Linked DNA regions of Anolis sagrei. The protein of the gene in region 1 binds, or shares a complex with, the protein of each later gene. Links are inferred from orthologs where the notes say so. Each region holds a gene or a part of one and is shown on either strand. Other genes may lie near its edges.

Region 1 (11,268 bases):
TCGATCTTTGTTGGCAGTGGCAATATATAAATACCCAAGTAAGACTTCTTACACTTCAGTGCTGACAACTAGCAACAGTGACGTTAATTTCATTGACCATGCTACCCATAAGTACACATGTGTAGATTATAGAAGGCGAAAAAGATGGTCTGACGTTATGCCTAAGTATCCTAAGGATACTGGGAGCACAGTGCAAGACTCACTGGATTTTAGGCACATATTAAAAGCTTGGTTCAGATTCTTCAATGTAATTCTGGGCTTTTAAAAAAATCAGAATCCACTTGTATCCGATTTTGGGAAGATTTCAATAAATAGGATAAAGGTTAAAGGAATTGCTTTGTATCTTGGGGGAAACCAAAACTTTCACAAAAGCACCACATACATGGAGGACATTGCATATGTTTACATTGTTCATTATGGTTTTCAGAGAACCCTTTGAAAGATAGCAGCAACTGGTGTGTTCTGTGTTGATGGGAGTGGTGAATCCACTTTGCATTTTAGTCTGAACTTTGAAGGAACTCTCTAAGGTGCTGAAAGGGATAGTTTTATTAGGAGTTCCTCCATGAAAAAAATCTCTAATAGTCGGCAAGTTGAAGGGCAGCTTGCCCACACCACTAATAATGTTCCCTGCCATGTTCAGCTGCCAGAAAGCATTGGGAAGTACTTTAGGGTATCTGTGCTTCACAAGGGAGACCCACCACAGCTTCGGGCAGCATCCACGCCAACTGGGTGTCAACTAAAGAGCACAATATACTGTAGAAGTGTGCAGCAGTTTGATTGAGAGGGGTTCACTGCTGCCTCCACTCCTTGACTTGGTTAAACAATCACAAAAAACAGAAATGACATCGGCACTCACTCCAGCTCTTACAAATGAATATTTCCACTTTAAAACACGGCACGCAGGAAAGTGTGCCTTGTGTAGAAGTTAATTACTGCTGGGAAATGGTGAGCACTTTCATAATGATTGTTTTAAACTGCTTGTGTTGCAAGGTGTATTTTTGCTTCACTCCCAAATTTGGTGGGAGTGCAATGAATATAAATGTGAAAATGTGTGGTTTTAGCCTCTGCCATGGGAGCATATTCAGAGGTGCCCTGTTGACTGCAAAAAGGTATGAGGAAGGCTATTATGATTATAAGCCATGTGTTGTCTATTTTGGCCTAAATGTTTGGGTGTCACTTTGGCACTGTTATTCTCTTTCAGCCCAATTTACCTCCCAAAATAGTTTGGAAGATAAAATGCGGGAAACAACAAACTCCATTTAGAGCTCCGTGGAGAAATAGTAGGCTATCAAGGTAATAACTTAGAGAAGAAAGGCCCTGGAACTTCTACACCAGGCAAGCAGTTCTTGATAAGGTGACCAAAGATTTCTCAGCACACACATCAATATAGAAAGTTGAAAATGTCTACATCCCTGGCAGAGAGGCATTACTGGTCCATAAACTCACCCATGAAGTAGCTGGTAATTTTACAGAAAGTACTTCCAAAAATGAAATCCTGCAGGAGGTTAGGAATGAGGGTGAAAGGCATGCAGAAGAAACAAAGCATGAGATCACTGATGGCCAGCGACAGCAGGAAGATGTTTGTGACAGTCCTCATTCTCTTGTTTCGGATCAACACAATCATTACCAGGGTGTTGCCCAGGACACTGAGCAAAAAGATCAGGGAATATAAAATAATCCGAACTGTCTGCCCCAAATCTGAAAGTAAACAAAAATGAGAAAATATCAGAAGAGACACTGCAAGAGGTTACAATTGTTTTTCTTTGCAGTATAATGAACTATCCTTTGCTTTATTTTTTTTTATTCAAATTGTGAGCCATTTTGGGTCTCCTACTGGGAGAAAATTACATAAAGAAATAAATAATTGGTAAATAATGTGAGTGCATGAAAAGCAGTAGTGGATATTCTACTAAAAATGCTTGTTTTAGTAAGATGAACTTTCCTTATCCTAGTTTGAAATGTTACCCAGTAAGCACCTTATTCCTTTAATCTTTCTTTCTGCATATGTAGGATAATACTGTATAAAGGTAAAGGTTTTCCCTTGACATTACGTCTAGGTATGTCTGACTCTGGGAGGTGGTGCTCATCTCCATTTCTAAGCCAAAGAGCCGGTGTTGTCTGTAGACACCTCCAAGGTTATGTGGCTGCATGGAGCACTGGTACCTTCCCACCGAAGTGGTACCTATTGATCTACTCACATTTGCAAGTCTTCAAACTGCTAGGTTGGCAGAAGCCGGGGCTAACAGTGGGAGCTCACTCTGCTCCCTGGATTTAAACAGCCAACCTTTTGGTCAGCAAGTTCAGCAGCTCAGCGGTTTAACCCACTGTGCCACTGATCATCTATGATCATTCAAGAAGCCCCTTTCACATCCTTCCAGGGGCATATTTACAAGGCAAAGTAAAATGAGAGTATTTCCCTCTCCCAGTAGCAATTATGTTCACCTTCTCCAGTGAAATTTTCTTTTACTCCCCAAATTCTTCTTTTATCAGTCTTTTTATGCTTGTCAAGCTCCTTCTTGTCCTCTCTCTATCTGGAGCCTTTTTAAAAGAAGCATTTATATTGGGAAGGAGGTCTGGAGAAACACAGACTTTGGGCAGCAGCATGTCTTCAGTAACCAATGCACTATACCTTAAGCTGGGAAAGAATGGACTTCTGCTCTAGCTGATCACAATATAATTTTATATGTCAGCCTACACCAGGCAAGGTGAACAGCTGCCTCCAGAATTCCTTACTGAGCAGGTATGAATAACAAAGAGAGGGAAAAGGGAAAACAGGTATGTTTGCCTCACCAGATACTCCTAAACACATTTTTAAAGGGATAGATCTATAATTCTATCTATGGAAGTCCAAATCATAAGAAGAGTGGCCACTGGGGAAAAAAATCCCTGGATTGATTTTGGAATAAGTCTTGGTTTTCAGAAGATTCAATTCATTTTGTTTATTTGTGCAAGACTTCTCTGGAGAGGTTAATTTCATATGTGCATATTTTTAGTTCTGAATAAAATGTTTGCTGTTTATCAGTCTACTTTTTTGTGCTGTAGGAATCTACCTGAGTATTTCTATTTACACCTGCCTCTGATGACAAGATTTCTATGAAAGGCATAATGCCCAGGCACACATGTACTTCACTGAGGTATACATGTATTAACTGTTCACACTGCCTTTGTTAACTGTTCCATCTCTTTTTCTTTGAAGTCTACATTGTATTGCTGAATATTCAACTGATGTTTCACATTATTGCAATACTAGAAATTTGGAGATTGAAGAAAACATTCACTAGGGGAGCGGAGGCAGTGGCATGAGCGGGGGTTCCTTTTATTTTGCCCCTTGCCTATAGCTAGGCATCTGCTTCTGTCCTATTCTATCCGGTGCCATAACTGTGCACCTGCTAAAATTTCCTGTTCCAAAGTATTGTTACAAGCCCCAAAGCCCTGTCTTTGTAACTGACCTGTTTCAGCTACAGTTGGAACAGCGCATTTGGCAGCTATGGAATTTCCAGCCTGAATTAACTACTGGAATCCAACATGTGTGCAAGTGTTAAGTGTAATTTGCATGGGAAAGAATTCAGAGCCTAGAAACAGAATTTCTGTAGGACAGCTATAAGAATCACCTCATAAGCATGATCAGTGACCAAAAAAGCCAATTTTCCAGCTCTCGAAAAATGAGAGGTAAGAGGAAAGGTGCTTAACCCATTTCCATGCTGGCTACATTTCCTTAGCCTGCTCCCTCTCCAGGGTCCTTCCACACAGCCCTATATCCCAGAATATCAAGGCAGAAAATCCCACAATATCTGCTTTGAATTGGGTTATCTGAGTCCACATTCAGATAATGTGGGATTTTTTTTTTTGCCTTGATATTCTAGAATATAGGGCTGTGTGGAAGGGCCCTCCAGTTACTTCTCTTCCAGATGGCTTTCTGAGTTCTACTTGCTAGTTAACTTAAGATGGGTAGCTGGGCTTGAGGAACAGAGGGGAAACCTGGAAGAAAGGTGATACATGGAGGAAGGGTTAAGCAGCCATTTGTGCTTGTTATTTCTTCCTCGCCAGTATCCCCTTCCCATCTCTTTTTTGACATCATATTGGGAATTTTGTATTTGCTACCAAACATGTAGTTCTATCCTAAAAGGGTAAAAAAACTGTCACAGTGGTTGGATTGTAACATTAGTTCAGGTTCTGCAAAAAGCTTGGAAAAGGCTGCATCTAGGTACAATGAAACACAGATCTGGTGTGTATTTGGATCAGTTGCTCTGTCAAGTATAGTTTTTAATTGTTTTTAGATTCGTTGATTTATCTACCAGGAATACACCACATGCTTCCTTTCAGAAATCTGGCATACTCTGCTTGTACTTTATCACCTCTTATTGCAATCGAACACCTCACAAATTGTGAAGAATTGTAAACCACTGACTTAGGAGGTTTGCAAAGCTTATCAGCTACCAGGAGAGCAACATAGGTCTCTACATGATTTATAGTTGAATCTATTTTTTCTCTTTTGTACCATGTAATATTTAATCTATTTATGTCTTCTATGCATAATACTGTTCATAACAGCAGTCCTGATTTTCTTTGAGAAAAGCTATTTGATATTTTCTAGTGTTTTAACTTTCTCTTTTGAACATTTTCTGTCTTGACTTACAACGGCTATTTTTTCTTGTCAACCTGTACATTATTCTTTAAATGCAGTTATAATCAGAAAGTCACTACATTAATTTCTAGCATTCGCTTTCATCAAAACACATCCACAAAAAACCAGTTTGTCACTTAAAATCTTGCTTAAATTATTGACTATAGATTAGTTACAGGTGAAACTATCTAGTTTATTTTTCAAAGGTACCTACCTTTATAAAGCTGACGATGATTCCTGCAGTAAAATGTATTATTTTCATAGTCGAGCTCAGACAGGAGTAAGGAAATATTGTGGTCGAAGCCAAATATGGTACTATTAAGTTTATCCATGCTTCACTTTCCAGAAAATGCAGAAAATGCAGTTCGAAGCTTATCTGTTCATTCTTTTGATGAATGCACACAGGGCTTTGAAAAATTCTGTAGCAGGAGGATTTGACAGGAGAGAGAGCTGTCCAAGCCAAAGTAGTCCTTTTTCAGTCACCCATGGGTAATGCTTTGTCCACAGTATGCTGTGAAGCATGGGAACGGTTGCTTCTAATAAGATATGAGACAGCTTGGATGCCGCAGAGAGAAATGCATGCATATACACAAGCACTCCGTTCCCTCTCTCTCCTAGGTTCCTCCCTCTCCTTTCTACTGAATTACTGACTGAGCTGGTGTTGGGATCATAACCATACTAAAGAATGATTACAAAATTAACCCCTAGTACAGCTGCTCACTGCTCCCATATGGTCAAGACTTCCTCCATACGCAGAGATTTATAAGCCTGAGTTAGTAAATCAATTGCAATTCAAAGTGCCACAAATAAGCTTCCTGCAGCTTGCTCTTAGACATATTTACTCAGAAGTAAATCTAGTGAGTTCAGTGGGATTGACTCCAGGCTACACAGACTAACATACTGAGGCAACAATGTTTGAAAGGATATTAAGCATTATTCCTTTCAAAGTACATATAACTTGTTTTCTGTTTCTCTTAGATATTAACTCTTTATTTATTTAAATTAGTTCTAAACAGAAGTTCGTCCGATGGATTCTAGGACAATCTCCAACAGACTCATGAAGAATTCAAACAAAATATAAACACAATATCCTTTGTAGTCAAATGTCAGACTAGAATTCTCCCTGCTTGTAGTGCTTAGAGGTCCCAACATCCACACTACTGACCTCATCAGGCGGGGTACTTTTTGGTGGCATGCACTTTTTTTCTTTACTTTTGTAATGAAACTTGATGGTTCCCATCCCACAACATAGAGCTACTTCTGGTATGGCTCTGCATAAAATTAAAAACAAACAGCAACACAGGAGGCTTCCTGTGAGGTATTGGATCAATGGGGGGAAGCTGGGTGATCAATGCTTTCCCCCATGGGATGAGCCAAAGGGTAATGTCTAACTTATATTCAGTCTAAGCCCTCTCTAGGACTGGACATTCTGTTATAGCATTCTCTTACACCAGTATTTTAAAGTCTAATCACCAGTAAACACAGTGATGGCACAGAAACACCTGAGATTAGTACTTTGGCGAAAATAATTATTTTTCAGAAAGTAGCAATAATGCTGCTATATATCTTCTAGCTTCATGAATTGTGCTGCTTCTAGTTCTACTTCTGCAGTGTTTCACATTTCCAGCCAAGCATATGTGTCTCTGTGGGTGTCAGGGAGGTGGAAGACGCTGGATAGTTGTCCATAATGCAGCGTCTTCAGCTATGGTGAGATAGTGCCAAGTAGAGGCAATTAAGGTTTTCTCAGCATTTGAAAGATAAATAAAGGGATTCCAGATGTTTGTTTTGATAGCGTCTAAATGAAAATCAATTTGGTTTCTTAAATTGACCCCTTGGATTGCTCTGTGTGAGAATAACTTTGTATTTTCTGAAGAAAGTCACCTTTTCCTTGCTCTCCATGATTTGAGATTTTGGCCCTGCTTTCATGTCATGTTTTCCTGTTTGGAAGCGGGAAATCTCATTTGGATACAGTTTTTGATCCAAGTTTTGTGCATTTTGGCTTTACTGTCAGTACAGGACATTATTTATTGCTGCCTCAAGAATACTCTGACTGTAACCTAGATTTTGGAATGACCTTTGCAGCTTATACTTTGGATGTACTTTCAGTTTTGCTTTATACATATACCTTGAAAATACTTTAATACTCTTTACCTTGGAATGTATTTTGAACTAGTTTTTTTCTATAGAACACTCTTTTCTTTAATAAACATTTGATTCGTTGATTGATTCCTGTTGACTGAGCAATATGTGGGCTAAGTAGATCTTCATCTTGGGTGAAAAGGAGTCACATAGGTGGTTGGGCTGCAACAGTGGGGAAAGTCTTTTTATTGTTTTTCTTCACTTTAAAGACAGAGTCTTACTGAGCCCATCAAATGATGTAGGACTGATTCCAGTGGATTTCATCTTTAAAGTGAAGAGAAATGGAGCCTTGTGAAGCCGGGGAAACAATTGGCTTCAAAGCTTTCACTTAATATTTTGGGGAAAAACACATTTTAGAAATGGAGAAATACCTGAAACCCATGGTATGAGCTTGTGTCTTGTGAAGGGCTCTGTCGGTAGCCATTTCTTAAATGTGCAGAAACGCTGATTTTACTGTGTGTGATGACGTCCTTAGAGGATGATTCTCCCCGCTTGCCCTACCCCTCATGTGACAAGATCCTGTATGTGCCTTCAAGTTGTCTGTTGACTTGTAGTGACCACATGGATAAAATGATTTTCTAAGGCAAGGAATATTCAGAGGTGGTGTGGCTAGTTCATTCCCCTGAAAAACGGCCTATAGACCTATTATTTTAATGGTCTTGTATCCAAGTGCAGGCTGAGGACACCTTATTCAGAATTCTGAAATTGGAAGTACTCCAGAATTCAAAACATTCCACATGGATGGCTGAGATAGCAACACCTTTGTTTTCTGATGGTTCAGTGCACACACACTTTATTTCATGCACACTATTATGAAAACCATTGTATAACCTTGCCTTGAGACTATGTGTGTTGGGTATATATGAAACATAATTGAATTTTGTTTAGATTTGGGCCTCAGCTCCAAGACATTTCATTATGTACACAAATACAGGCATTCCAAAATCTGGAAAAAATCTTCTCAAATCCAGAACACTTTTGGTCACAAACATTTCTGGTCTGAGTTTGAGTCCCTCTACGGCGGTTGAGAAGATTGGGATATAAAGGTTTTAAATAATTTTTAAATAATAATTTCAGATAAGTGATTTCAACCTGTACTGATCAGTTTACAAGTTCATATGGGGTTTGGTGACTTTTATGGGAAGAAGATTCCTGATTCCTCAGGTTCCTGGTCATGTTCTATATGTTCAGATTAGTGGTGTTCCCATCTGAGCAAAGACTTGTTGAATCTATATCAGATCCATTTTTAATCAATGTAATTGGTAGATTAAGCCAGCAAAGCTTTAGTTCAGTTGTTGATTGGGGCAAATTGCAATCAGTATGGTTGAGATGGGAAGGCAAATTGGCGTATGCTTTTTTAATCCTTTAAAACCCAACACCAGGCAGACTGGAGTTCTGATAGTGAAAAGTAGCTCTTTGTTCATTTAAAAAACTTCTTTAAGGGCATAATGTCCTTTAAAAATACCTATAATCATTACGTTTTTGGTAATATGCAAATACATTTAAATTTCATTGATTAGACGCCTGATGATTAATCAACTATGAGAGTTTTAATCATCAACCCTAAAATGTATTAGTTTATACAAAGGAATAGGTGATTCCTTTCTGTCAATCACTGCAATGAACAACAGTTTAATTGCAGCAGTATGTGGGAATGGATGGAGATCGCAGCATCCACCCAAAAACAGAAATAGCATAGCTTTGTGAACATACCTTCTGTGCAGCCCATCTTATCCTTCTCCCCAAGGAATGTGACTAAATATTTCTCTCTCTTAAAGTCAGCTTTCTCCTCCTATTCTTCCTCTTTTTCTTGGTGGAACCTGTTACTTCTGTTTGGGTAGACATGACTAATGAATGACTGGTGATAAGCCTATTAACCTTGATAGCTAAATAGTGCCTTTGTTGCTGTATGCTTTCAAGTCATTTCTGATTTAAGGCAAGCCTAAGTTAACACTGGGGCCCAAGGTCACACAGTGGGTTTTTGAACCGACATGTACGTTAAACACTGTACCTCTGAATCCCACATGTTCTAGTCAAGTAACAGGACAGGACTGTGCTGTTGTGCTTTGCCTGTGAGGTATCCGACTAGTTACTTCTGGTAATCAGGTGCTGGACTATGTGGGGGAAATTCCATCCATGCATTGCATGCAGCCCACATGGCTATTGGTTCCTTATCACCATCTGTACTTTCAGTGTCACGTTTATTGTCCTAAAATGGGCCAATTGCACATATAGAAGTCCATAGGAACTGGCTATTTCGGTCCAATTTTGAAAGCCCAGGAGATCCCCCACCAAATCCAGTAGCAACTGGCAACATGATGTGAAGATGGGGCTTAAAGTTGTCATGAGGGTTAATGAATACTTGAAGATTCTACACCTGGACTAAAGAGATATTGATGTGGTGCAGAGAGATATTGATGTAGAGAGATACTGTTGTGACATATTGATGTTTTGTATTTCATACAGTTGGTTCCTGACTGCTCAGTGCCTACTTTCATACCTTGATCAGAATATGCAGAAATACAAAATACAAACCTCTGCATCTGTTTCATGTCTCTAGAAATATATTTCAAATCAGGTATAATATAATGTTGTGCAGCTTTGGCATTTCCTTTCATGTCTGAGCATATTAGCAATTGAAGGGGTTTTTTTTTTGGCTTGAGTCCAGTTGCATCATTAATCTCATCTTCTGGCATTATTTCTTTCTTCATTTTGGAATGACTCATCATAAGATTTTCATATTGGAGGATATTCATAATTATAATTATATATTTTATTTTACATATAATATTACTAATAATATTACAATATAATGGTATAGTACAATATGTTGTTGTTCATTCATTCAGTCGTTTCTGGCTCTTCGTGACTTCATGGACCAGTCCACGCCAGAGCTCCCTGTCGGTTGTAACCGCCCCCAGCTCCTTCAAGGTCAATCCAGTCACTTCAAGGATACCATCCATCCATCTTGCCCTACAATATACAATATTACCTTCAAAGTGCTGATTCTTACCTTTATGGCCTTATATGGCCTGGGGCTGGAGTACCTGAGGGACCGCCTCACCCCTACCAACCCCCAAGATCATTCAGTTCAGACGATCAGAATCTCCTTGAAGTTCCCAATTTTAGGACCTTTCACCTGATGTCTACTAGGTGTAGAGCATTCACGGTGGTGGCTCCTTACCTGTGGAATGCCTTGCCAGCGGAAACACAAGCTCTCCAAGACTTACCATCTTTTTGTCGAGCTTGTAAAACTTATTTATTTAGGCTGGCATTTGAATCTTGCTGATTGAAATTTTCTTTGATTTTAAATGTAATGTATCGCATATGTATATTGTAAACTGCTCCGAGCCTTTGGGGACTGGTGGCATATAAAATTGATAAATAAATAAATAAAATATAGTAATATAGTATAATATAGTAATATAAAATACTGATATTGTACTATGCTAATAATAGAATGTATGTATATATATCTTGTAAGCCACTCTGAGTCCCCTTCGAGGTGAGAAGGGCGGCATATAAATGTCACAAATAAATAAATAAATATTCAGATGTGGTATACCGGTGAAGCCTTCTGCACAGCACTTGCTCTTTTAGAGTCAGCTAAAACACCACTGCCATTGCCTTTGAAATATCCTCTTCCAGTATTAATCCCCATGCGGAGTCCCTGGTGGTGCAATGAGTTAAGCCCTTGTGCTGGCAGGACTGTTGACCAAAAGGTTGGTGGTTTAAATCTGGGGAGCAGGTTGAGCTCCTGTCTGTCAGCTCCAGCTTCCCATTTGGGCACATGAGAGAAGCCTTCCATGGGATGGTAAAACATCTGGGCATCCCCTGGAAAATGTCCTTGCAGACAGCCAATTCTCTCACACCAAAAACGACTTGCAGTTTCTCAAGGTACTCCTGACACAAAGAAAAAAAATCACTCCCCATGCACCCCAATACTGCTGCTACCGAATCACTGTTTAATACTTATACTGAAGTAAAATACTGTTTGATATGGGTGATCTTACCACAAGCATGGTTTAGCCCTTCAGAGGAGCACCAATCACACTAATATGAGCTGATAGTGCCATGGTACACCACAATAGAGCTGCAAGTCTAAATACATATCTAAATTATAGAAAGACAAAAAAACTACTTGGGTGTCAATGTCTGCAGAAAAATGGGGAAAGGCCTGAGATAAGGGGCACAAACAAGGGAAGGCAAAGAGGGAAAAAGAATAAAGATTTCTGAGGAAAAAAGTGAATAAGCTCAACTGGGGAAAAAATGGGGCTTGTTATCCACTGGGGTTTATTCTAGGTCTCCTGTAGATACCAAAAACTGAGGATGCTCAAGTCCCATTATATACAATGGTGTAGTAAAATGGTGTAACTTGATGTTTTCAAATTATGGATAGTTGCATCTATGGGTACAGAATCTGTGGCTAGGGAGGACTAAATGTACTCCCTTACCTACACAGCTGCAGTGACACAAGGGGTTAAACCCTTGTGCCAGCTGAACTG
Region 2 (11,386 bases), on another chromosome or scaffold:
AAACTGAGTAAAAGCAACCCCATTAAAGGTCAGGATTCACAGATTAAGAAGCAATGGTGTATACCACCCTTCCTATGTTCTCAGGCATAGTCTTTGCTTACAATGGATATGGATGATAATTGTTGTTGTCCTTGGTATCCATTGGGGATGGTTCAAGGATTCCTGAGGATACAAACATTCATGGATATGCAAGTCCCATTACATACAAAGTGTTACACCCCACTCAGGTTTCACTTGCACTCAACACCAACCAGGAATCCAAAAGTAGTTTTTATTGGTAAAAGCATATAGAAAAAAGTAGAAATATAAAAAATAGAAATAAAAAGTGAAGAGACATCACACTGGCAATGAAGATCCGCACAGTTAAAGCAATGGTATTCCCTGTAGTAACCTACGGATGAGTGACCTGGACCATAAGGAAGGCCGAGCGAAGGAAGATAGAGGCTTTTGAACTGTGGTGTTGGAGGAAAATTCAAGAATGGGCAAACATATGGAATATGTTGGCTTTGTATTGGATCACACGTCGGACACTTTCCAAGTATCTAGGACTGTGTGATGTGTCGGTGAATTATTATTATTATTATTATTATTATTATTATTACTATTATTATTATTATTAGAAACACAGCAAGATGAGTCCACAGCAGACAAGATCACTCTGCTGGTGGTTGTATTGGATCACACGTCGGACACTCTCCAAGTGTCTAGGACTGTATGATGTATCGGCGAATTATTATTATTATTATTATTATTATTATTATTATTAGAAACACAACAGAATGAGTCCACAGCAGACAAGATCACTCTGCTGGCTGTTGTATTGGATCACACGTCAGACACTTTCCAAGTGTCTAGGACTGTATGGTGTAGCGGCAAATAATAATAATAATAATAATAATAATAATAATAATTTGAAACACAACAAGATGAGTCCACAGTAGACAAGATCACTCTGCTGGCTGTTGTATTGGATCACACGTCGGACACTTTCCAAGTGTCTAGGACTGTGTGATGTATTGGTGAATTGTTATTATTATTATTATTAGAAACACAGCAAATTGAGTCCACAGCAGACAAGATCACTCTGCTGGCTGTTATATTGGATCACACATCGGACACTTTCCAAGTGTTTAGGACTGTTTGATGTATCGGCGAATTATTATTATTATTAGTAGTAGTAGTAGTAGTAGAAACACAGCAAGATGAGTCCACAGCAGACAAGATCACTCTGCTGGCTGTTGTATTGGATCACATGTCAGACACTTTCCAAGTGTCTAGGACTGTGTGATGTAGCGGCAAATAATAATAATAATAATAATAATTATTATTATTATTATTATTATTATTATTATTAGAAACACAACAAAATGAGTCCACAGTAGACAAGATCACTCTGCTGGCTGTTGTATTGGATCACACGTTGGACACTTTCCAAGTGTCTAGGACTGTGTGATGTATCGGTGAATAATTATTATTATTATTATTATTATTATTATTACTATTATTATTATTTGAAACACAACAAGATGAGTCCACAGTAGACAAGATAACTCTACTGGCTGTTGAATTGGATCACACGTTGGACACTTTCGAAGTGTCTAGGACTGTGTGATGTATCAGCAAATTATTATTATTGTTGTTAATACTATTATTTGAAACACAGCAGACAAGATCACTCTGCTGGCTGTTGTATTGCATCACATGTCAGACATTTTCCAAGTGTCTAGGACTATGTGATGTATCGGCAAATTATTATTATTATTATTATTATTATTATTATGTTTATGTTTATGTTTTTTATTATTATTGGATCCACTTCCAGATGTCAATGTTCCAAATGCAACCTCACACAGGAGCTCACATAGACTGTAATTAGATACATTTTAAAGAAAGTAAGACTTTTCCAAATGTTTTGGTGAGGTTTTGCATCCACTCTTTGTATCTTTACACTTCATTTGGCGTCACCTGAAAGGGAAATACATTCAGGAAAGTTTTGAAAAAGGGTCTAAAATCTTTAGCTTTTGACATCCAATCAGCTGGTATTTTGATGCAAGCTTCTCTGTGTGCTAAGCAGCTTCATGGGGATTTCTTAGGCTCAGAGGTGGTCTGAAAGCAAGCTCTTTCCCTGAAAGACAGCCCCCAGCTCCTGGGATCTGATGCCCTGAGCGAGGGTGATGCTGAGAGCCGGGAGAGGCGCGGCTTGGAGTCGATGGGGAAGCGAGGGAGGCGCCCCCGTCCCGGAAAAGGCGCCCAAATCCCCGCAAATAGAGCGATTTCTCAAGAGAGAAGGGCAGGCGAGCGAGGGGGAAGCTGGCCAAGGGGATCAATGGTCCCAGAGGACGGCGCCAGGGAGGATCAATTGTGCCAGATGGATCCCCGGCGCCCACGCCCAAGACAGCCAGGCAAAGAGGAGGCTCCAGCCAGACCCAGGAGCTCAAGAGCAGAGCCGGTGCTTCAGACTCAGACGTTTCCCTGGTCCAGGTCCCCAATTTGGGGCTGAGGAAGGAAAAGCCCTCAGGCAAAGCCAAGGAAAGCTGGATGGGTTTGGGGTCTTCCTAAACAGCAGCTGATACAGATCTATCACTAAGAAGTCAAGCTTCTTGACAGCTATAGGCGGTCAAAGAGCAGTTTGATTGTCACCACTTTTAACAGCCATGGCTCAACACTATGGATTCCTGGGCGTGTTGTAGTTTGGTGAGGCCCCAGCCCACTTTGGTAGAGAACGCAAGATATCCTATAAAACTACAATTCCCAAGTACCTGGGTGCATCTGAATGAATGCAGTTCCAGGACTCAATACTATGGAATCCTGTGGTTGTTGTTTGGTGAGGCCCCAGCCCACTTTGGTAGAGAAGGCAAGAGATCCCATTAAACTACAATTCCCAATTGCCTGGGCGCATCTGAATGAATGCAGTTCCAGGGCTCAATACTATGGAATCCTGGGAGTTGTTGTTTGGTGAGGCCCCAGCCCACTTTGGTAGAGAAGGCAAGAGATCCTATAAAACTACAATTCCCAAGTGTCTGGGCGCATCTGAATGAATGCAGTTCGAGGGCTCAAAACTATGGAATCCTGGGAGTTGTTGTTTGATGAGGTTCCCAGCCCACTTTGATGGAGAAGGCAAGAGATCCCATAAAACTACAATTCCCAAGTGTCTAGGTGCATCTGAATGAATGCAGTTCCAGGGCTCAATACTATGGAATGCTGGGAGTTGTTGTTTGGTGAGGTTCCCAGCCCTCTTTGGTAGAGAAGGGAGAGATCCCATAAAACTACAACTCCCAAGTGCCTGGGCGTATCTGAACATATGCAGTTGGATACCACTTTAACGTCCACCGCTCAATACTATGGAATCCTGGGAGTTGTTTGGTGAGTCCACAGCCCACTTTGCTAGAGGAGACAAGAGATCACATAAAACTACAACTCCCAAGTGCCCTGGGTGCATCTGAATTATTACAGTGTATGCCGCTTTAACTTCTACTGCTCAATGCTATGGAATCCTGGGAGCTCTTGTTTGGTGAAGTTCTAGCCCACGTTGGTAGCAAAGGCAGTTTTTAGAGCAGTTGCCAAAGACCATCAGAAAGAATATATTTCTGATGGTCTTAGGAACCTCTTTGGCAGAGAAGGCCAAGGGGAGGGCTGTTTCTGAGACTCCAAGCGGGGAGAGGAGAGCAGGTGTGCTTGGCGCATGGTAGCATGGAGCACATGCGCGGGTGAGGGAGAACATGCGGGGCTGGAGGGAGGGAAGTTTAGCTCAATTCCATTATTTGTGGGGTTCAGAATGCTCTTTGATTATAGGTGAACTATAAATCCCAGTAATTACAGCTCCAAAATGTCAAGGTCTATTTTCCTCAAACTCCACCATTGTTCACATTTGGGCATATTGAGTATTCGTGCCAAGTTTGGTCCAAATCTGTCATTGTTTGAGTCCACAGTGCTCTCTGGAAGCAGGTGAACTACAATTCCAAAACTCAAGGCCAATGCTCACCAAACTCTTCCAATATTTTTTGTTGGTTGTGGGAGTTCTGTGTGCCAAGTTTGGTTCAATTCCATCATTGGTGGAGTTCAGAATGCTCTTTGATTGTAGGTGAACAATAAATCCCCACAACTACAACTCCCAAATGACAAAATCAATCCTCCCCAACCCCACCAGTATTCAGATTTGGGCATATCGGGTATTTGTGCAAAATTTGGTCCAGTGAATGAAAATACATCATGCATACTAGATATTGATATTACAATTCATAACAGTAGCAAAATCACGGTTATGAAGTAGCAATGAAAATACTTTTATGGTGAGGGGACACCACAACATGAGGAACTGTATTTAGAGGTCATGGCATTAGGAAGGTGGGCATCAAAGGACTCCCAGGAACTTGCATACAAACTTCTTGGAAAACACATACAAACATACATACAAGCAAACATATTTTCACTTTTATTGTAAACTCGCCATCTCCTGCCACACGTTGCTGTGGCCCACATGAGGGTTCTGTGTGGGGGGTTTGGCCAAGTTCTATCGTTGGTGGAATTCAGAATGCTCTTTGATTGTAGGTGAACTATAAATCCCAGCAACTACAACTCCCGAATGTCAAGATTCTATTTTCCCCAAACTCTACCAGTGTTCACATTTGGGCATATTGAGTATTTGTGTAGAGTTTGGTCCAGATCCATCATTGTTTGAGTCCACAGTGATCTTTGGATATAGGTGAACTACAACTCCAAAACCAAAGGACACTGCCCACCAAACCCTTCCAGTATTTTCTGTTTGTCATGGGAGAACTGTGTGCCAAGTTTGGTTCAATTCCATCGTTGGTGGGGTTCAGAATGCTCTTTGATTGTAGGTGAACTATAAATCCCAGCAACTACAACTCCCAAATGACAAAATCAACTTTTTTGAGTGAAGGACATACATTGGGTTGTTAGGTGTCTTGTGTCCAAATTTGGTGTCAATTTGTCCAGCGGATTTCGAGTTCTGTTAATACCTCAAACAAACATTACATTTTTATATAGATAGATAGATAGATAGATAGATAGATAGATAGATATAGACGTAGACGTAGACTTAGATGTAGGCGTAGATGTAGAAGAGGCGGGGGATACGCTGTTTTTTCCTCCCAATCTGGGGCAGGATAACATGTTCTCTTTAATAGGTAACATTCTGTTTCATTTCACTGGGCTATGCTTCCATCTATGATAACCCATTTCAATTTATTGTTAAGCTGTCATATATGCAGAAGGCATTGGTTACATTACCTGAACTCAGTTTTTTCGTCATTGTTGATGATTAAACTTCTCTTCAAGCAGGTACACTCAAAAATGTTTGATCCCTTGTTGTGGATTGAGACAAAGTTAGTTGCACATGAAGCCACCAGAAATAAAATTAAATAATGTTCAACTTGTTCTGGATTCAGTGCACATATGGATGGCAGCTAGGAAGTCCATCATGTCGCATGTAGCAGAAATGGGGCAGAAGAGTCAAAGCAGCTGTGCGCCTGCAAGGAATGATGTTTAGTTTGATGGAACTGTTTGATGCATCCCTGAGCCCCCGGTGAAACAATGGGTTAAGCCCTTGTGCCGGCAGGACTGAAGACCAACAGGTCAGAGTTTTGAATCTGGGCAGAGTGAAGATGAGCTCCCTCTGTCAGCTCCAGCTCCCCATGTGGGGACACTAAGGAAGCCTCTCCCAAGGATGGTAAAACTTCAAAAACATCCCAACGTCCTCTGGGCAACCTCCTTGCAGACGGCCAATTCTCTCACACCAGAAGCAACTTGCAATTTCTCAAGTCGCTCCTGACACACACAAAAAACAAAACAAAACAAAAACAAAAACCTAGTAGGTTTTCAAGATTGAGAAGAGAATCAAATGCTGGTCCTCAGCGTTATAGTCCAATTCTCAAATCACTACACAGTATTGGTTCCCATACCAGTCTATATTTACAGTGTAATTTTATGTTTGCCTGTTTAGAAGTAAAGGGTTCTGTACTCAGGGGTCTAGAATCAGTTTCTGGAATATCTGACATAGTTTTCAACAGTCATCATCATCATTAATACAAATTAATATTGTACTACCAACTGCTCCAATACACCTTTAAAATGATAATGCATACCTAATTGTATTCCCATTGGGTATTTGGGAGAAGAATATCCAGTGCTTCATAAGTTTGCTGTGTGCCTGCAAGGAATGATGTTTAGTTTGATGGAACTGACATTGCATAGAGTGCATCCCTGAGCCCCCGGTGGCACAATGGGTTAAGCCCTTGTGCCGGCAGGACTGAAGACTGACTGACAGGTCAGAGTTTCGAATCCAGGGAGAGTGAAGATGAGCTCCCTCTGTCAGCTCCAGCTCCACATGTGGGGACATGAACGAAATCTCCCACAAGGATGGTAAAACATCAAAAACATCCCAGCGTCCCCTGGGCTACATCCTTGCAGACAGCCAATTTTCTCACTCCAGACACAACTTGCAGTTTCTCAAATCGCTCCTGACACAAAAAGAATATCCCTTCATTGGCTAACCAAAAGAAAATCTGACTGTTCAGGGAAGATAAGAAATAACTTTCAGGACATTCATTTGGGAGGCTCAGCGCTGTTTAGTTTTAGTTACGGGACAGGAAGAATTGTCAGGGAAACACCGACAGGATTAAACTCCAGGAGTCCTGTCTTTTCTTTAGGATGCTTTCATCTCTCCAAGCCCCCTCGCATCCTCCCCTCCCCATATGCTTCGCTGCTTTGCTCCATCCATGCAGCGAAGCATGTGGTGCTCCCACAGTTGCGTCAGATCTGTGCAAACAAACTACGTTCTTCCCATTGTTGAACCAGACTATTTAAGAGGCAGAGCAGAAGGGCTCAGCCACCACCTCAAGGCTGCCTCTTCTCTCTGGTGTACAGCAGGAATCTGCACCTCATTCCAAAGGTAAGATACCATAACAAACTTCTAAGTTTCATTAGAGCTGGCTGGGTGGTGAAAAACCAAAGGCAGAAGTAATTTTCTTATTTTTCAAAGTGAACATTTATCTTGGACTACACTGATAAATTGGAAAAATATAGACAGCTACAACCTGCAGAAACGTACAAGGCAGCTCTAGGAGTATATTGTTATTTGTGTGTTGTGCTTGCAACTTTTCTGAATCTTTTGCTAATGTGGATGATGTTGGTTAACAGAATCCTGTTTCACAAGACTGGATGTTTAACTTGTTCTTTTTTAGCCAGAACTTTTGCTGTGTGAATTTGTCTCCGCTGTGCTAAAAGACAAAGATACTTTTGCATAAAGAACAGAAATATGGGATGTTTGTTTTTTTTCCCCCTGAAACTCCAGTCCTAAAAGTATTGAGAGCAAGTGTTATTTTATTTCAATCCAACATGCAATGCAGTCGTATATATGTCTACTTAAAAGTAAGACACCTTGAGTTTAAAGGTAAATGTGTATAGTTTATAGTTTTAATGGATTAGGTGATAGGTGTCTAGGAAACTGTAGTCTTTTTATCCTTTTACATTCCTACTTCTGATTTGTTAATTGGTACAGGGAAACTAGATGCAGGATGATGTTTTGACTCATTTTTATTCCCCGTACAACCAACCTAGCTTTAGAGTTTCAAAAAAAGGTGTTATGTATGTACTGTGTAGTATGTGTAATACTTAAGGAGGTTTATGTTTTTAGCACGCAGTACAGAATTCGGCATGATTGAGCCAACTTTTCTTGCTGTGTAGGATACATGTTAAACTCTTCTGCTAAAATATGTGGTACATGCACACCCTTAGTTGAGGATGGCTCTTCTTCTGATTTCTGTGTGTAAAATGGGATAGTAGTGTTGGAATTCAACCCCACACTGCCCAAGTCTCAAGTTCTTAATGAGGAACAAGTTGGTTAGAATAGGCTAAGTGTTTCATTTCCCCCATGTCTCCTGTTTGACAGATAGGAATGTATCTATTTCTTCTCTCCTCTCTGTTTCTGCTCTTATTCTGATTGTTTGTGTAGATTGGATACTTTTCTACTGCAAATCTTTTTAAATCTGACTTTTGGGGGGGGGGGTTACATCTGAGTATGTGCTGTGTGCTTTGAGATCTCTCTCTGTGTGCGTGTCAGATACATGTAGTGATTGGTGTTTTTTCCCCCTCTCTTTGAAAGAGATGGGTGTTAGATCCAGTTCTTTACTAAGAAATGCAGTTATTGTTTATTATTGTAAACAAACCTTTTGTGATTTTTAAGATTGGACTCTACATCTTTGCCTGCCTAAGCTCTAAATTCTTTACACTCATAACCAACGGCACTTCATGCTCTGCTCACTAATGAGCTGAATGCTCAACTTTTAAGTATCCTGTTTGATTTTTTGGATGCTCTGCTATATTTTCAGGTAGTTTTATCTAACAACTACAATATATGAAGTGTGATTATTTCATAAATGTGTCAAATCATAGAATCAGTACAACTCTCTCTCTCTCTCTCTCCCTCTCTCTCTTTCTCACACACACACATTTCTAGTCATACTGTTTTCCTCTCTAAATCAAAGCATCTTCACAAATGGCAGATATCTATCTCCATCTATATCTATCTATTTTGAAGGAATGCATATGAAACTACCTAAGGTTACTTAGGATGGTGAAATCCCTTTCTTGCAGATCAGAACTTTCATTCACTCTTTATTCATAACCAAATCAGTGTAGCATTTTTCTCTCAAGAGAATCAAATCATTTCAATTTTATTCCAATTTGCATTGGTTACCCCAGAGAAATTAACACCATGATATGATCTGGGGGCATTGCATATCAATTTGGTCTACATTGAAATAATCTGAGAATGAAGTCGACCCTATTAGTTTTTCTAGAATTTGGAAAAGCTGCACAGTGAAAAATAACAACTGCAAAAACACTGATGTAAAGCTTTCACCAACTTTCCCCCCAAAAAGCGAACAGATCATACTTATAAAAGGGCAAAATTAGCCCTCCTTCCATCACTCCATATACTGAATTCTGCATAGCCTAAAAATCCAAGCCAAAAAAAATGCCATGAAGTACTTCACTTCAAAACAATATCACAGAAAGATGTAAGTTTTCCACAAAACAGAATTCCCATAGATTGATTTTCTGTGATTAGCAATTTCAGCCACTGATCTGTATGTGATACTTCTGAAGTCTTGAGATAGATAGATAGATAGATAGATAGAGAGAGAGAGAGAGAGAGAGAGAGATAGAGAGATAGAGAGATAGAGATAGAGAGAGAGATATATATTCATGTTTGGAAACAACTGACATTTAGAACTCTTGTTTTGGCAATACCTTCAATGGACTAAAAGGGAAAGATTGAAAAGACATGTGTAACCTTTCAAGATCTTCAGATCCCTTCATTAGATAAGATGTTTTCAAATCTAACCAAGAGAAGAAATGTATGGAAAGCCTTGGTCTTCAAGCCACTTGTTGTCTTAAGACTTGCAGGCTCCCAGTGGGGTTTATTTGGTGATGTAATAGAGTAGTTTTCACCCAAAGCATCTCTAGGCTGCTGGAGAAATGGCCATCAACAATAAGGTTTAAACCTTGATTTTGTAAGCACATTTCTTGTAAATTCAAAGCTGTCTCCCTCCATCTATCCACTCAGGATTTTCATCATGTTTTCTCCTCTTTTCTCTTTAGCTATGTATAGTGGGATTTGCCTCTTTCTCCTCCTGGCTGTGCTGTCCATGAGCTCCTCAGGACAGCAGACATCGGGCTCCCACAATGGCAATCCTGTGGCCACCGATCTTGAGCAGAATTTGCTGGAAAACCACCGGCACATCCGTAACCCAGATGCAGAGAAAACTATCCGGCAGGTTGATGGCAGCGTGGACCAGAAAGCCAACATGGTAGCTCTTTTAGCCAAATACCTCCAGCAAGCCCGAAGAGGTAAATACTTTGATACATGTTCTAAGTGTATCTAAGCAAAGATATTTCAGTAATTTCCCATCTACCTGCACAACCTCACTTCCACACACATTGGTTGTTGTTATCTGCCATCAAGCCAATTCCTAAGGCAAATCTTTCATGGGGATTTCTTGGCAAGATTTATTCAGAGGCCTTCTTCTGAGGCTGAGAGAGTGTGACTTGTCCAAGGTCACCCAGTGAGTTTGCATGGCTTAGCAGGGATTTGAACCCTGTACTCCAGACATCCAATGCTCAAATCACTACTACACTATGCTGACTCTCTCTACATAGATGTATTAAGAAGAGAAGGCATGTAACTAATGCCTCCCCAGATCCAGGTATTATGAGGACCTTCAAAGACTCTTTCTGGATTCCATTTTATATAGTGATGACCAGAATTATCTACATTATAAGTCATGACCTATATAGAAAAGACAAGTGGTGCCTGCTATCTTCTTTGTCACTGAGGTGATGCATCCACTATGGGGTTTATTCCAAATGCGAAAGGTGGTATCACAACTTTAAACTTCAGACAAACATTCAGAGCTTGGAACTCTGAAACATTCAACATTCGGAATCACCAGCTGTAAATGACCTATTGTTACTCAAAATACTTTTTAAAATACCTCAACATATGATTTAAACATATTTACGAACTGTCCAAATATCTAAGGACAGGTAAAAGTGGGACTAGTTCTTTCTTGCCATTTAGGAGACGGTTGAGTAACAGCTATTCCTTTTATGAACTAATGCTCCCTTGCAATATAATTAATTCCGCTATTAAGATGAGATCATCAAATGCACATTTTGGTGTGCATTTTGGTGTTGTTTTAATGGAATCTAAATGAAGCCCTTGTGACGATTAAATGATTACTTAGTACGGGCTCCAGAGTTGTAAAGGAGGCTTATAGTGCAATCCAATTTAAGTTCCCAAGGAGTTCAGAAGGGCTTACAACTGGCTAATCGGCTATAGGATTATAGAGTCAAGAGCTGTAGTATTTTACTCACAGGAGAAGAAAAATAAGCATGAAAATAAGCTCTTATTGTTAGATTGAGTGTTCCATTACATCTCTTCGGGAATAGATGCAAGAATGTGAATTATAACCTAATGGGCTACAAAAGCTTTTCACCTACAGCAAAATCTATTGTGGTTCACCAACAATGTTGCAGAAGAGCCAGGGCTTGCATGGTAGAGCACTAGGGCATTTTGATTAGCAGGAATAATGATGGCATCTCTCTCTACCCTCTGTTCACATATAGCTTCAAATTTCATAGTAGTTACGGCATGGAGCAAGATAGGTTATCTCCTAGCAAGGATGTTATGAGCTATCCTAGTTGTAATACAAAATATTTGGGAGTGCTTTGTGTCTTGAACTAAAAAATCAAGACCCACTAGCTTTACAAAATAGATGAAAATCACATGAATTGTTTTGTTGATAGGGATCGAAGCAGCTTCCTGTAGTTTGGGACTTTCCTTCAGGGCAAGGGTATATTGCTA

What was found.
Region 2: the proteins of CCKAR (region 1) and CCK are in contact, whole or in part, in a cryo-EM structure (PDB 7MBX), measured with the Homo sapiens proteins. The link is inferred for Anolis sagrei from reciprocal best matches to the Homo sapiens genes CCKAR and CCK. Residues at the interface, in NP_000721.1 of Homo sapiens: Cys94, Phe97, Asn98, Pro101, Asn102, Lys105, Asp106, Phe107, Thr118, Met121, Gly122, Val125, Tyr176, Phe185, Asn194, Met195, Cys196, Arg197, Phe198, His210, Leu213, Leu217, Ile329, Phe330, Ala332, Asn333, Arg336, Ala343, Glu344, Leu347; in NP_000720.1 of Homo sapiens: Asp96, Tyr97, Met98, Gly99, Trp100, Met101, Asp102, Phe103.

The regions. Positions count from the first base shown.
Region 1 is NC_090025.1:113,172,871-113,184,138, forward strand, and holds the start of CCKAR (cholecystokinin receptor type A), read right to left. Parts: upstream 4,964-11,268; 5' UTR 4,957-4,963; coding exon 4,839-4,956; intron 1,699-4,838; coding exon 1,447-1,698; intron 1-1,446. UniProt on the Homo sapiens protein: Receptor for cholecystokinin. Mediates pancreatic growth and enzyme secretion, smooth muscle contraction of the gall bladder and stomach. Has a 1000-fold higher affinity for CCK rather than for gastrin.
Region 2 is NC_090026.1:76,143,337-76,154,722, forward strand, and holds the start of CCK (cholecystokinin), read left to right. Parts: upstream 1-6,736; 5' UTR 6,737-6,910; intron 6,911-9,621; 5' UTR 9,622-9,623; coding exon 9,624-9,870; intron 9,871-11,386. UniProt on the Homo sapiens protein: This peptide hormone induces gall bladder contraction and the release of pancreatic enzymes in the gut. Its function in the brain is not clear.